Linked DNA regions of Arabidopsis thaliana. The protein of the gene in region 1 interacts with the protein of each later gene in a pairwise test. Each region holds a gene or a part of one and is shown in the gene's direction. Other genes may lie near its edges. The genes, in order: TMAC2, HSL1 and AT4G14720.

Region 1 (3,758 bases):
AATATTGCAAATAGAACACCAAATCATTAATTTCGGTTGACGTGGATATTCAAATAATGATCTACACATATACAGTACCGTGGGTACGCATGCCATTTCGAGACGTATACAATTCAGTTTCTTCCACTTGAGTTTCAGATCTTTATCAAAATTACAAACACGTTTATATATATATACACATATAGATAGATTGATAGCCACATTTCTGAGATTCGATAGTCATATATACGACTATATATTAAATATTCCAGAAGATATATTGACACTTTTTCTGAAAGACTAATTAAGAAGAACGCGCAAGTATGACTATGCGTTACTAAGAATATTTAATTTCCATTAGAAAATGTGTAAGTTTATCTGATATACTAGTTAATTAGCCAAATGATTTTAAAATTTACGTTAAGAAAATTTCGTAGGTTCAACTTTTTAGTGTGTAAGTTATTAATTGTGAATTATACAGCTAGGAACGTCCGTTATATGTAAACAAAGTAACTATATATAAAATTTAAGACTTAGAGTAAGTATTTATTATGTGATTGTTATATATACTCGCTAAAGAGTACTAGATGAAGAGTGAAGAGGTTGGGCATCTCGAGAGAGAAACTGAAGAAAACAGAAGAGAAAGAGAGTTATTCACTCGATGGTCCCCCTAATTTTCCTATCACTTTTTCTCTCTCAATTTAACCGTCTCTTGTATTATCCCCAATAGTTACATTTTTAATTACTCTTATCATTTCAATACCCAACAAAGCAGAAACAGCCCAGCAAAATTTTCACTTCCAGAAATTATAACATGGTTGAATACACAACACTAATTAACTGCAATATGAATCATAAATAAATTTATTAAGATTTCTATATAAAAACTGTTGGGCAGCAAATGCATGCGTACGATATCTATAGAATTGGAGTTTAGTGCAATTGTTGGTATTTCTTTCTTTGGGGAAAGTGACACGTTAAAATATGAAAAATGTAAAAATTTGAACAAGACTTACAATAACTAGAAAAATCAGAGATACAAAATTTACTACTCTATCAGTCTATCTGTTGTCTTATACACTACACCTTTATTATGCACTGTTCCTATCCCAAACACCAATCCCTATGCTCAGTCCATATGGTAGATACTACTAGAGATGGTAACCCAACACATATGTGTTAGATGGCCCCATAGGCAGTAAGCAAAACATTACTTTTTACAACCATATCTTTGTTTATAAATTTTAAAAGCTATGTGAATTTAATTTAGTATTACTATCCTGGATCACAATCTTGGGCCAACAAAAGAAATGTGTATGGGCCAACTGTGATGAAAGAAAAGCCCAATGGATCAAAGTTCAGATGCTTTCTGTAGCTCTTTTGTAGAGAAGTTTTTGTAAGTTTAGTTATAGAAGCAAAAATAGGTAAACCACAAAACTGAAGCCCGGTTGACTAAATCCTTAAATGTGATCATGTCACACAGCAACTTGGCTACATGTTGTCGTGAAGCAATGAATAAAGTGGTACGTGGTGTATTCTAGAAGCGAAACGTGTCACTAATCTTATCACCTTTTTAGGGTAAAATAGATTTGAAACAAAACATTTCTTCAAACATACAAAAAAAGAAAGAAATAGTACAAGTTGGCCACTATGCGTGTCCCACTTCTCGATCTCCTCTTTGATTGTTTGCGTCTCTTTAGGAGATCCTCCCATTCATTCATTCTTTCCTCTCCACCTTATTATTACTATTATTCTGCTGCATGAATTTCAAAAAATTATGTAACAACAATTTACCGAAATGAAATTACCACAAAGGATTAGAAACTAGCACATTCTTAATAACCAATATTGAACTCTTATTAGTATTGTTGTTAGAACTTGAAGTTAATTAGGCCACAAGAAAAGGCGCGTAGAAATGTTTAGATAAAAAAAATGTCTAACGTATTTCTTTGGTTTGCCGTGTCGGGGGCCCAGTCAGGCTGGATACACGTGGCAATAAAGGGACTGTCGTAGTTGAGCACGTTGATTATTAGACACGTGTCGAGTTGTATATGAACAAAGTAGCCTACGTCTACGCCACTTGATGCCCTTTTCCACGTGGCGTGGTGGGTGGTCGTCTATCTTTTCCTATAAAAAATCATAAATCAATATTAAAATGTTTTCAAGAAGATAATCCGAATAATTCCCTATATTTTGTGTCTGTCAACGAGAAATCACTATCTATTTTCATTGATTATACTAATGCAAATTGGTATATTAACTGGAAATTATGTCTATTTTAAGCCAACTTGTGTGAAAATATACTAAAGTAAAGTTTTAAAATCCGTACTACATCGTCAACTATGCTTGTAATATAATTCAAAAACATGATTTTCTTTTTTTTTCCCTGAAAAATATAAAATATGCAAATTGAAGTACTATAGTTTATAATAGTAAGCATTTGGTGCTTGTTTTAAGACAAAATTGTTTCGTCTCTCTCAAGATTGAAAATAGAAAGTTAAGCCAAAAACGTTTCTCCCTTCTCTTTCGAATTTCTCTGACTTTGATATTTGGTTATGGAGATGATAAGAGGCAGGGGAATCCCAAACGGCGTCGTTCAAGTACCCAATCTTTCTGCTAATAATCTCTTGCAGAAGTTTTTCATCGCAAGCAACCATTTTTGTCAGCGAGACTCTGAGCATGGTGAGAATCAACAAGAAGCGAAGAAGAGAGAAGATGAAGCAGAAGAGGATGAGAAAGACGTGGAGCTAACGTTAGGTCTTTCGCTTAATGGACAGTTTGGTACGGATCCGAGATCGAGAAAAAGGAGGCACTTTGAACTGGGTCGATCTTCTTCGATACCGGAAGGTTTCGTCTTCGATGAACAAAGATCCGGCGGCGGTAACGGCGGAGATATGCGTCGTATTGTGGGCCGTGGAGGCTCAGACATGTTTCAGCTGGATCGGACGCGTTCTCTGCCGGTCGTAACGGAGATGGATATAGAGAAAGAGCGGAAGGTGTCAGAGAAGACGAGGGCATTTATGGAATCTCCGGTTACAAACAGAGGAGCATATCTAACAAAAGATAAAAACAGAGGCCAAGCCGTCGAAACAGAGAAGCCGAGGGCATTTCTGGAATTTAAGATTCCTCCGACCAAGGAGGGAAAGAAAGAAAAAGATCGGTTGGTTGTCACTGGTCCGGTCAACGGGAAGGGTAAAAATGGAAATACGGCGAAGAAGCAGAAGAATAATGTGGAAAATTCAGGAATGGAGAAGGCGAGGAACATTCTTGAAGACATGCCTTGTGTGTCGACGAGAGATGTCGGAGCCGACGGGAAACGAGTGGAAGGGTTTCTTTACTGGTACGGAGGGAACAAGGAGGAGGTCAAGATAGTTTGTGTTTGCCACGGCAGTTTTCTTTCTCCGGCGGAATTTGTTAGGCACGGCGGAGGTACCGTCAGCGATGATGATGGTGGTGATGTTATGATTAACCCTCTTAGACATATTGTTGTTAAACTTCCTTCTTCTTCTATCTAGGGATTATTATTTATCCCCAACTATTATTAGAGCTCTCATTTTTTGTTTTCCCTAACTTTCAAAATGTAACGATGTCAAACTAATTTGACCGACTAAACTAGCTGAAGCATGTACATTTTATATCCAAAGTTATTACAGATCCACTTGATTTGATTTTGGTTAAGAATGTTGAATCAATCTTAGCTAAACGGATGTTTTATTTTTTAACGTTAGAAATTAAAGATTCATTGATATCGAAGGGAGAGGAAACAGAGTTCAAAACTG
Region 2 (3,758 bases), on another chromosome or scaffold:
TACACTTTTAGAAACTCAACGGGCACTAACATAAAGTATTAGCAAACTAAACGCAACGACGGTTGTGAATGAAAGACTTTCGCAAATGTATAATGAGTGTGATTAAAGTGAAATTATATGCTCTCTTTTATCAAATGAAAGAACCAATCAATACTTCGGTAATGTATGTAAAATTGGTGTCGATACATATACAGTATATCTACACATTATATAGGAGTCAGTGATTCGTGATATATTAACTAGAGTTGCATCATCAGATAGTTATTTTTATATTGTCAACTACTATTTTATGCTTGTAAAAATACACAGAGATGGTTCTTGGTTACAACAAGGAATATTTCATATGTGAAATCTGAAAGGCAACAATATTAGACTAATATAGCAAATAACATGATATCAACGTATGGGAGTGTAAATGTCTGAATGTTCCATTTGAGAAATGTCCTCATCATGTGACACAAGTTTATTAGGCTACTCAAGTTAGCTTAGAATTAAGAAGCTAGAACATGTGAAAATAAATAGAAAACAAAAAAGAGGAAACAAAAACTAATAACAGAACGAGAAGTTGAAACCTTTTGGATCCAATTAAATGAATATCGATGTAATTCCAAAATGTTAGTTCATGTGTTAATGTTTGAAGATCTAGTACATATGAATAACATTTGAAATCATTTTTGTTTCATGCAATTACATAACTACAAGGGTTTTCATCACATATTGCTAATTAATTTTGAGTTTAGAATCCAAAACATTTAACCGAAAATCTAATAATTTTAAAAAGGGTGATTTACTCATCTATAAGACTAACTAAAAAAATACGTACTAAATTATTTACAAGAGACAATTGATAACTAGAGTATGAATTAGTTGTTTAGACTTACCCATGTGTCAAAGTCATATTGACAAATGGCTCGGTTATAACTGATTTATATACCAATAATTGCATACAAGTTTGTTTCTTAAATAAATCAAGCAATATTCATAAGATTGCATGTGTATTTTCTGCGAAACTATTAGTACGAATTCGTGGATATGCAAATTTAATGACTATGCAAAGTAGGTGAGAATGTAATAGCGATTAGAATAGCTAGGGTTTAGCCTACCAACCATGGTAATCCAGTTTCCTAATTATCGTTAGTTTTTGAATCCCATTCATGCTTTTATCTATTTTTCAACCAATCATGTCTTTTTACCAACAAAGCATTTCCAGTCTAAGCAATATGGTAGGTAACTCGGTACGATAAACAGAAAGATAATTTATTATTCATCTATAAACGAATAATTGGTTCTCACATTACTCATACAGAGGAAAAAAAGGGATATACAAACCCTCTCTAAATTATATAGTTTTGAATTCACTGTTGTTTATCAACAACATATATAACTCTCTTACCCAATTCTTATTATTGTTCATACTTCATAGACATTAACATGTACGTATAGTGATTGCTACAATGAATGGTATGTACAGATATTGAGACAGACAGTAGAAAGGGATGAATCGAGTATTTATTAAAGAGAAAGGAAAGGGCCAATCTATGCCTAGTTTCAATTATGAAACTCAACCCATGAACTGATTTAAATACTTTACCTATCGGATAAGACTTTTAAGGGTCTAAAATATTTTCCAACTATTTTTCATTTGCAACAAACCTTAAAGTAATATGCTAAAGAGATCTTTTCCAAAGGTGGAATGATTTTTTTGATCTAAAACGGCCCATCAACCAATCTTCGGTCCATTATCCTGACATGATTATTTGGGCTACATTTTTTTAAGTCTTTTGCAGTAAATTGTTGAACCAACAAAAATAAAGAGTTGGAGTTGGACCTAGTAGCTGATCTGCTGATGTGTTGGTGATGGTCGTCGTGGGTTCCTGTCTTATAACCCTAGAAACCAAGCCACTTCATCATTCTCAAATTCAATGCTTTACTAAATAATATTATTATCGAAATCAAAATACTAATTTAGACGTATATAAATCTAGAAGCAAACCTTAGGTGAGGTCGAAACAGAGATGACCTTTTGCGTGCACTTTAATTAATATCTTATTACATAAAATGTCACACTTTGAGTAAACTTTACATTATTCTCTCATCCATAATAAATAAATAAAGCATACTGGGTTTTAGGTCAGGCTGACGTCAGCAGTTTCTTTGTGTTTCATTTTTTTTTTTTTTGTAATCTAACGCTCCAGATTTGTTGTCTTCTCCACGAGCCCTTTGTTGTTGTTGGTAATGGAGATTTTCGCTCTAAGTCATTGTGGCTTCTTCTTCTTTATTTAGAAACCAATTCATCAACTCCTTCGTTATTTCTAAATCTCTTTGCCACTACCTCTTGTTGCTGCAATTGAATTGGCTCAAATCTTCTTCACTTGGTCGACGTAAAGACGACTTTGACTTGGTTTTTAACTTCACTTCTCCGTCGAAAACTATCCCTTCTCTTCCGATCGAATCAATCGGCTCTCTCTCCACACAAACCAAGGTAAGGGTTAACCCTCTCCGGTGATTATGCTCTGATAAATTTACTTGCTCGGCCATTAGTGTTCAGAAACTTGGTGATTTATGCATGTTTTTTTTTGTTCAAAGACCGTAGATTTCGGAATTAGGATTGTAAAAATTGAACCTTTACATCAGTGTTTTTACAAAGTTATAAGCTTTACTTGGAAATCAGTGGTTTTTTGGGTCAACCAAAGTTGAAAGATTTGAAGAAGAATGAAACTAGTTCGATTTATATATCATTTTATTGCTTCTTAAGAAAGTGTCGTCCTTGGTTCTTTATGAATTTCCAATTGCAGCCAAATATGTCATGTTATTCACCTAATTTTTGTATTTTCCAATTGCAGCCAAATATCTTCTCCTGTTACTGGAGACAAACCTGCATACATTTCTGTCATCTCTGTTAAGGTATTACATTTAGTTTACTTGTTTACTTAATGTAGCTGCTTATTACATTTTTTTCTTCAAGTCTATATTCTTCTTTCAATAGCATTAAAAGTTATGTGTATCCTCAGATTAGATCTTGCTGACTCGCAAGTTTTTGGATTATTTAGCGGTTTAATAAGAATTATATCTTCCTTGAAATTGTGCCTAGGTAGTGGAATCGTTGTTAGCCTACTGTAGCTCAGATAGGTGATGGATCATTTCCGTTCAATTGAATAATTTGACTATTTAAGGTTTGCACTTAGTTTTGTCTACAGAATCAATTCATCCTTTTTCACAGTCAAGATATTATTCTCATTATCACTATTGTAGACTTCTTGGACTTCCATACATTCATCAGTCAACTTTTCGATGGTGCGTTTTTATCACAGTGGCACAATTATTTAAGAGGCTCCATCTCCACTGCACCACTGAGAAGTTTCGTGTGGACATGTCTAAGCTTAGAATTGGTTTGGTTGAAAACTGAGGAGATGGAAGTGACTCGTGGTTTCTCTTTTTTGGACAAGTTTCTTCGAAAGGTCTGTTGATTTTCTTTGTCTCTTGTGAACTTTAATTTCGTTTTTTTTTCCTTAGGATGCAATGATATCTTATCTTTAGATGTCAATATCAAATGTCCTTAACTATTCATTCATTTACGGATTTTGATTACTTTATAACAGTTGGTATCTTCTTCTATATATCGTCATCTTATATGTTTTTATTTGTATATAGTCTTTCACAGAAGGAGCGTATTGAGTTTCTCGACAATATATTTGACATCTTCTTCTGCCTTTTCTGGTAAGTGTTTAACTTTTCTGATACCAATTAGTTTTCTTAAT
Region 3 (3,758 bases), on another chromosome or scaffold:
CAATATTGTTTTTTTTTAAAGCACATCATAATAAAGTCAACAATATATAATTTAAAAACCTTTAAGAAAAAAATAAATTTGGGTAGGGTTTGGTGAGTGGTGTCGATAGAAATGGCGGATGCATCCTTTAGATTAAAGGTATGGTACCAACTTGGATCCATTTCTTCGATAACGACTCTTCCTATTTCCACTCTGTTTTTTTTTTGTTTCCCTCTTCTTTATCTCATATCTTCCACTACTCTCAATAGTCAATTCTATATCCCAATTTTTATGTTAAGTTTTTACGATTTACAAGTTATTGGCAAATTGAAAATTGCTGTCAACTTGCTAGAGGGTATTGTAACAGTACTACCAAATATGAGGTCGAGTCTTAAGTGCTATATATGGAGAGAGATGATTTACGTTTGTGGAATCGCAATAAGTATATATTATCAAATGCTAGTCCATGGACATAAAACTATGAGCCAAAAATTAGAAATTTCTGGTTAACAATAACAATAAAGAAAAAAAAAATGGTATATGCATATACAGTATAAGGTAGATAGTTTTGATTTTTGAAGACCATTGATTAATATTATATATTTCAATATCAATTGTTGGTAAGTTATAAAAACCTTCAAACGAGAGTGAATTAACTTCAAAGTCACAAAGTTCGACTTTCGATGTTAAAAAAAATAAAATGTTTACACGTTCCATTCTCTTGTTCAAAAAAATTATGGATCAGTATTCCAAATTTCATAGTAATCTAAAAAGAAAAAGTTGCATTAATATGGTTTGCTTATCTAATCATTTTTCGGGACATCACCGTATGTATGGATGACGAAACTATATTTTAAAAAGAAGTTTTCAACTGTTCGTTTATTCATGCATGTATATCTTGACAATTACGACATTGGATGAATTGAGTGATGAATCCTTATCGTACATCACGAGTATAATTACATGTATCATGCATTGTTATCAATTATCACTTTATATATTGGATAATGAGAAGGGATGTCACGCAAGACCAAGCAAGGTTTAAGGGAGAATCGATATTGGTCAGACTCATGTGAAAATATATTTCTCCTCCTTCGTCTTGTCAATTTATTACTCTATCTCTTGTATTTTTCAATTGTTTTGGTATTCACTTCAGAAAATGACTAGTCTTCGTTTTTATGTGTTGAGCCATTTTCATTTACATGCATCTAAATGATCTACTGAATATGGATATCGAAGAGATTTTTTAGTATAATGGTTTGTGCTAGATCCTTTAACAAAAAAGTAAATGGTTTGTGCTAGTGTTTTTGTTGTATTGCTAATTTGCTATCCAATTCATAGCACACATGTTGTTGCCAAACAAATGCTAAATCCATTTTAAAAGTATCAACTAGTAAATTAGCTTAACAAATTTTTTGTTAACATGTTTATGAGATGTTTTTTTAAGAAAAAAAAAACTCATTTAACATGATTACATTTAGGGTTTGATTGGTTGTTTTAAACTGAAAATTGTCTGTTTGCAAAAATGTTTGGAATGATTATCTTTTTGCAAAAATTGCGTGACATGTTGAAGTGTTGCAATGCTGGAGGTTCTGCTAACTAACAAGTAATAATCGTATAAGTGACATGATCTTCCATTTTTTAGAGATACTAACCAAGAATTGTAAAACCAGGAAAAAAACACTAACCAAGAATTGATGATTGTCCATCTAGACTAAAGTAGTATACAAACAAAACACAAAAGATATTTTGTTCTATTTTTGGAATAACTCTTATCCATTTATAGAAATAATTAGTTGTTTAATCAAAATATCACATGCAAATTGATCGTATGCGATTTTAGATAAATTGACATCCACTCAGTAATAAACAAACAAGATACTCTCTGATTACAAAATAATCTCTGTTTTCTTTCGTGTCATTTTTCTTTATCACTCATGCTATTATTATATTTAAATTTAATATAAAACTGTTACCATTTACTATTTTATTTCACTGTTTGACGCGAAAAAAATAATCAGCATAAGATTTACCCAAAAAATAAAAAATAATTGGGATACTTAAGCAATGCATGATTAGGCTATAATCTAGAGAGACTAATAGGATGCTTACGTGGCAGTCTAGGGAGCTTCGCTGCTCCAAAAACCATTCCCCTAAAATTGAAGCCCATAGACTATTAGCGACTTCACTCTTTCTCTTTCTTTCTCTCTCTCTCTCTCTCTCGCTCTTCTAATTTTGCCCTCAAAACCCTCCAATTATTACGAAAACGCCACTGCTCTCTCGTCGGGACTCCGGTGAGGCCGTTTTGGCCGGAATCTGACAAGGGATATGGATGTAGGAGTTACTACGGCGAAGTCTATACTTGAGAAGCCTCTGAAGCTTCTCACTGAAGAAGACATTTCTCAGCTTACTCGCGAAGATTGCCGCAAATTCCTCAAAGAGAAAGGTTTCTTCTTCTTCCTTTCTCCATTTTTTTCCGGTCTTATTGTCTTCGACGGTAGGATCTTCCTCACGGATTTTGCTGAGAAGAATCGTACATAGTCAATTTTTTGAAATTCTCTATTCTTCTTCTCTCCGAGCTTTTTTTTTCGCTCTCTGGAGAATGGCGGCTGACACGTGTCGAAACAGGAATGCGCAGGCCTTCGTGGAATAAATCTCAGGCGATCCAGCAAGTTTTATCTCTTAAAGCTCTCTATGAACCTGGAGATGATTCCGGCGCCGGAATCCTCCGCAAGATCCTTGTTTCTCAGCCGCCAAATCCGCCTCGCGTGAGTGTTGTTCTTCGATTTTGTTTCGATTTACAGAGAAAAATCTAAGTTCTGAAGTAGTAGAGAATCGTTTACTTGGTTGGTGCTGATTTAGGGAAAATTGTTGTTCTGTGTGTACTGCTGTTTTGTTCACAGGTTACAACAACGTTGATTGAGCCAAGGAACGAGCTCGAAGCTTGTGGAAGGATTCCTTTACAGGAAGATGATGGTGCGTGCCATAGAAGGGATTCTCCAAGATCAGCTGAGTTTTCTGGTAGTTCTGGTCAGTTTGTTGCGGATAAAGATAGCCACAAGACTGTTTCTGTTTCCCCCAGGTTTACATTTTCTTCTATAGCGTTTTGACTTTGTGTGGTATCTTTCTTCTGCTTTCATGCCTCAAGAAGAGAACTGATGCATTGTGACATTCTGTTTGTGATCTTAGAATAAGTACTTGGTTTGATATCAGTGTCTTAGACATTGAAAAGTTTCTATATGAATCATGGTTTTGATGGTGGATTGGTCACACAGAATTTAGGTTAAAAGAGTCAGATAGATCTTCTTGGTTCTGTGTTACTCTTTACTCTTCTGTTTTGAGGATTGGTATGATGTGATGTGATTATTGCTAGTGAACGATAAATCAGTTACTTAGTCCATTAGTCTATATGATTTGTGAATTCTGCAATTACTAACAAGAGTTTTAGGGGTAGTTCATGTACAAAGTCTTATTGATATTAGGTGCATGTTGTTTTATAAACAAATTACTACTCCAATGTTATTTAATTAAGTTGTTTAAACACGCTTTTTTGTAATGTTGCATCAGAAGCCCAGCTGAAACAAATGCGGTGGTTGGGCAAATGACGATATTTTATAGTGGCAAAGTGAATGTATATGATGGAGTACCACCTGAAAAGGTAAATGAATCACATAATTCTGTCCAGCCTGAAAATATAAATTTTGATGGTATGGTTTTGATCATTCATCTTGTGTATTGATTTGCAGGCCCGGTCTATCATGCATTTTGCAGCCAATCCA

Evidence for each region.
Region 2: the proteins of TMAC2 (region 1) and HSL1 interact in binary tests that used the Arabidopsis thaliana proteins (3 or more experiments, as listed by UniProt).
Region 3: the proteins of TMAC2 (region 1) and AT4G14720 interact in binary tests that used the Arabidopsis thaliana proteins (3 or more experiments, as listed by UniProt).

The regions. Positions count from the first base shown.
Region 1 is NC_003074.8:385,214-388,971, reverse strand, and holds TMAC2 (AFP2 (ABI five-binding protein 2) family protein), read left to right. Parts: upstream 1-1,920; 5' UTR 1,921-2,534; coding exon 2,535-3,494; 3' UTR 3,495-3,735; downstream 3,736-3,758. UniProt on the Arabidopsis thaliana protein: Acts as a negative regulator of abscisic acid (ABA) and salinity responses.
Region 2 is NC_003075.7:15,477,331-15,481,088, forward strand, and holds the start of HSL1 (HSI2-like 1), read left to right. Parts: upstream 1-2,048; 5' UTR 2,049-2,482; intron 2,483-2,843; 5' UTR 2,844-2,904; intron 2,905-3,164; exon of another isoform or gene 3,165-3,311; 5' UTR 3,312-3,458; intron 3,459-3,651; 5' UTR 3,652-3,717; intron 3,718-3,758. UniProt on the Arabidopsis thaliana protein: Transcriptional repressor of gene expression involved in embryonic pathways, such as LEC1, ABI3, and FUS3. Repressor of the sugar-inducible genes involved in the seed maturation program in seedlings.
Region 3 is NC_003075.7:8,433,484-8,437,241, reverse strand, and holds the start of AT4G14720 (TIFY domain/Divergent CCT motif family protein), read left to right. Parts: upstream 1-2,136; 5' UTR 2,137-2,307; coding exon 2,308-2,425; intron 2,426-2,607; coding exon 2,608-2,747; intron 2,748-2,882; coding exon 2,883-3,061; intron 3,062-3,546; coding exon 3,547-3,637; intron 3,638-3,725; coding exon 3,726-3,758. UniProt on the Arabidopsis thaliana protein: Regulates the arrest of dispersed meristematic cells during lamina development.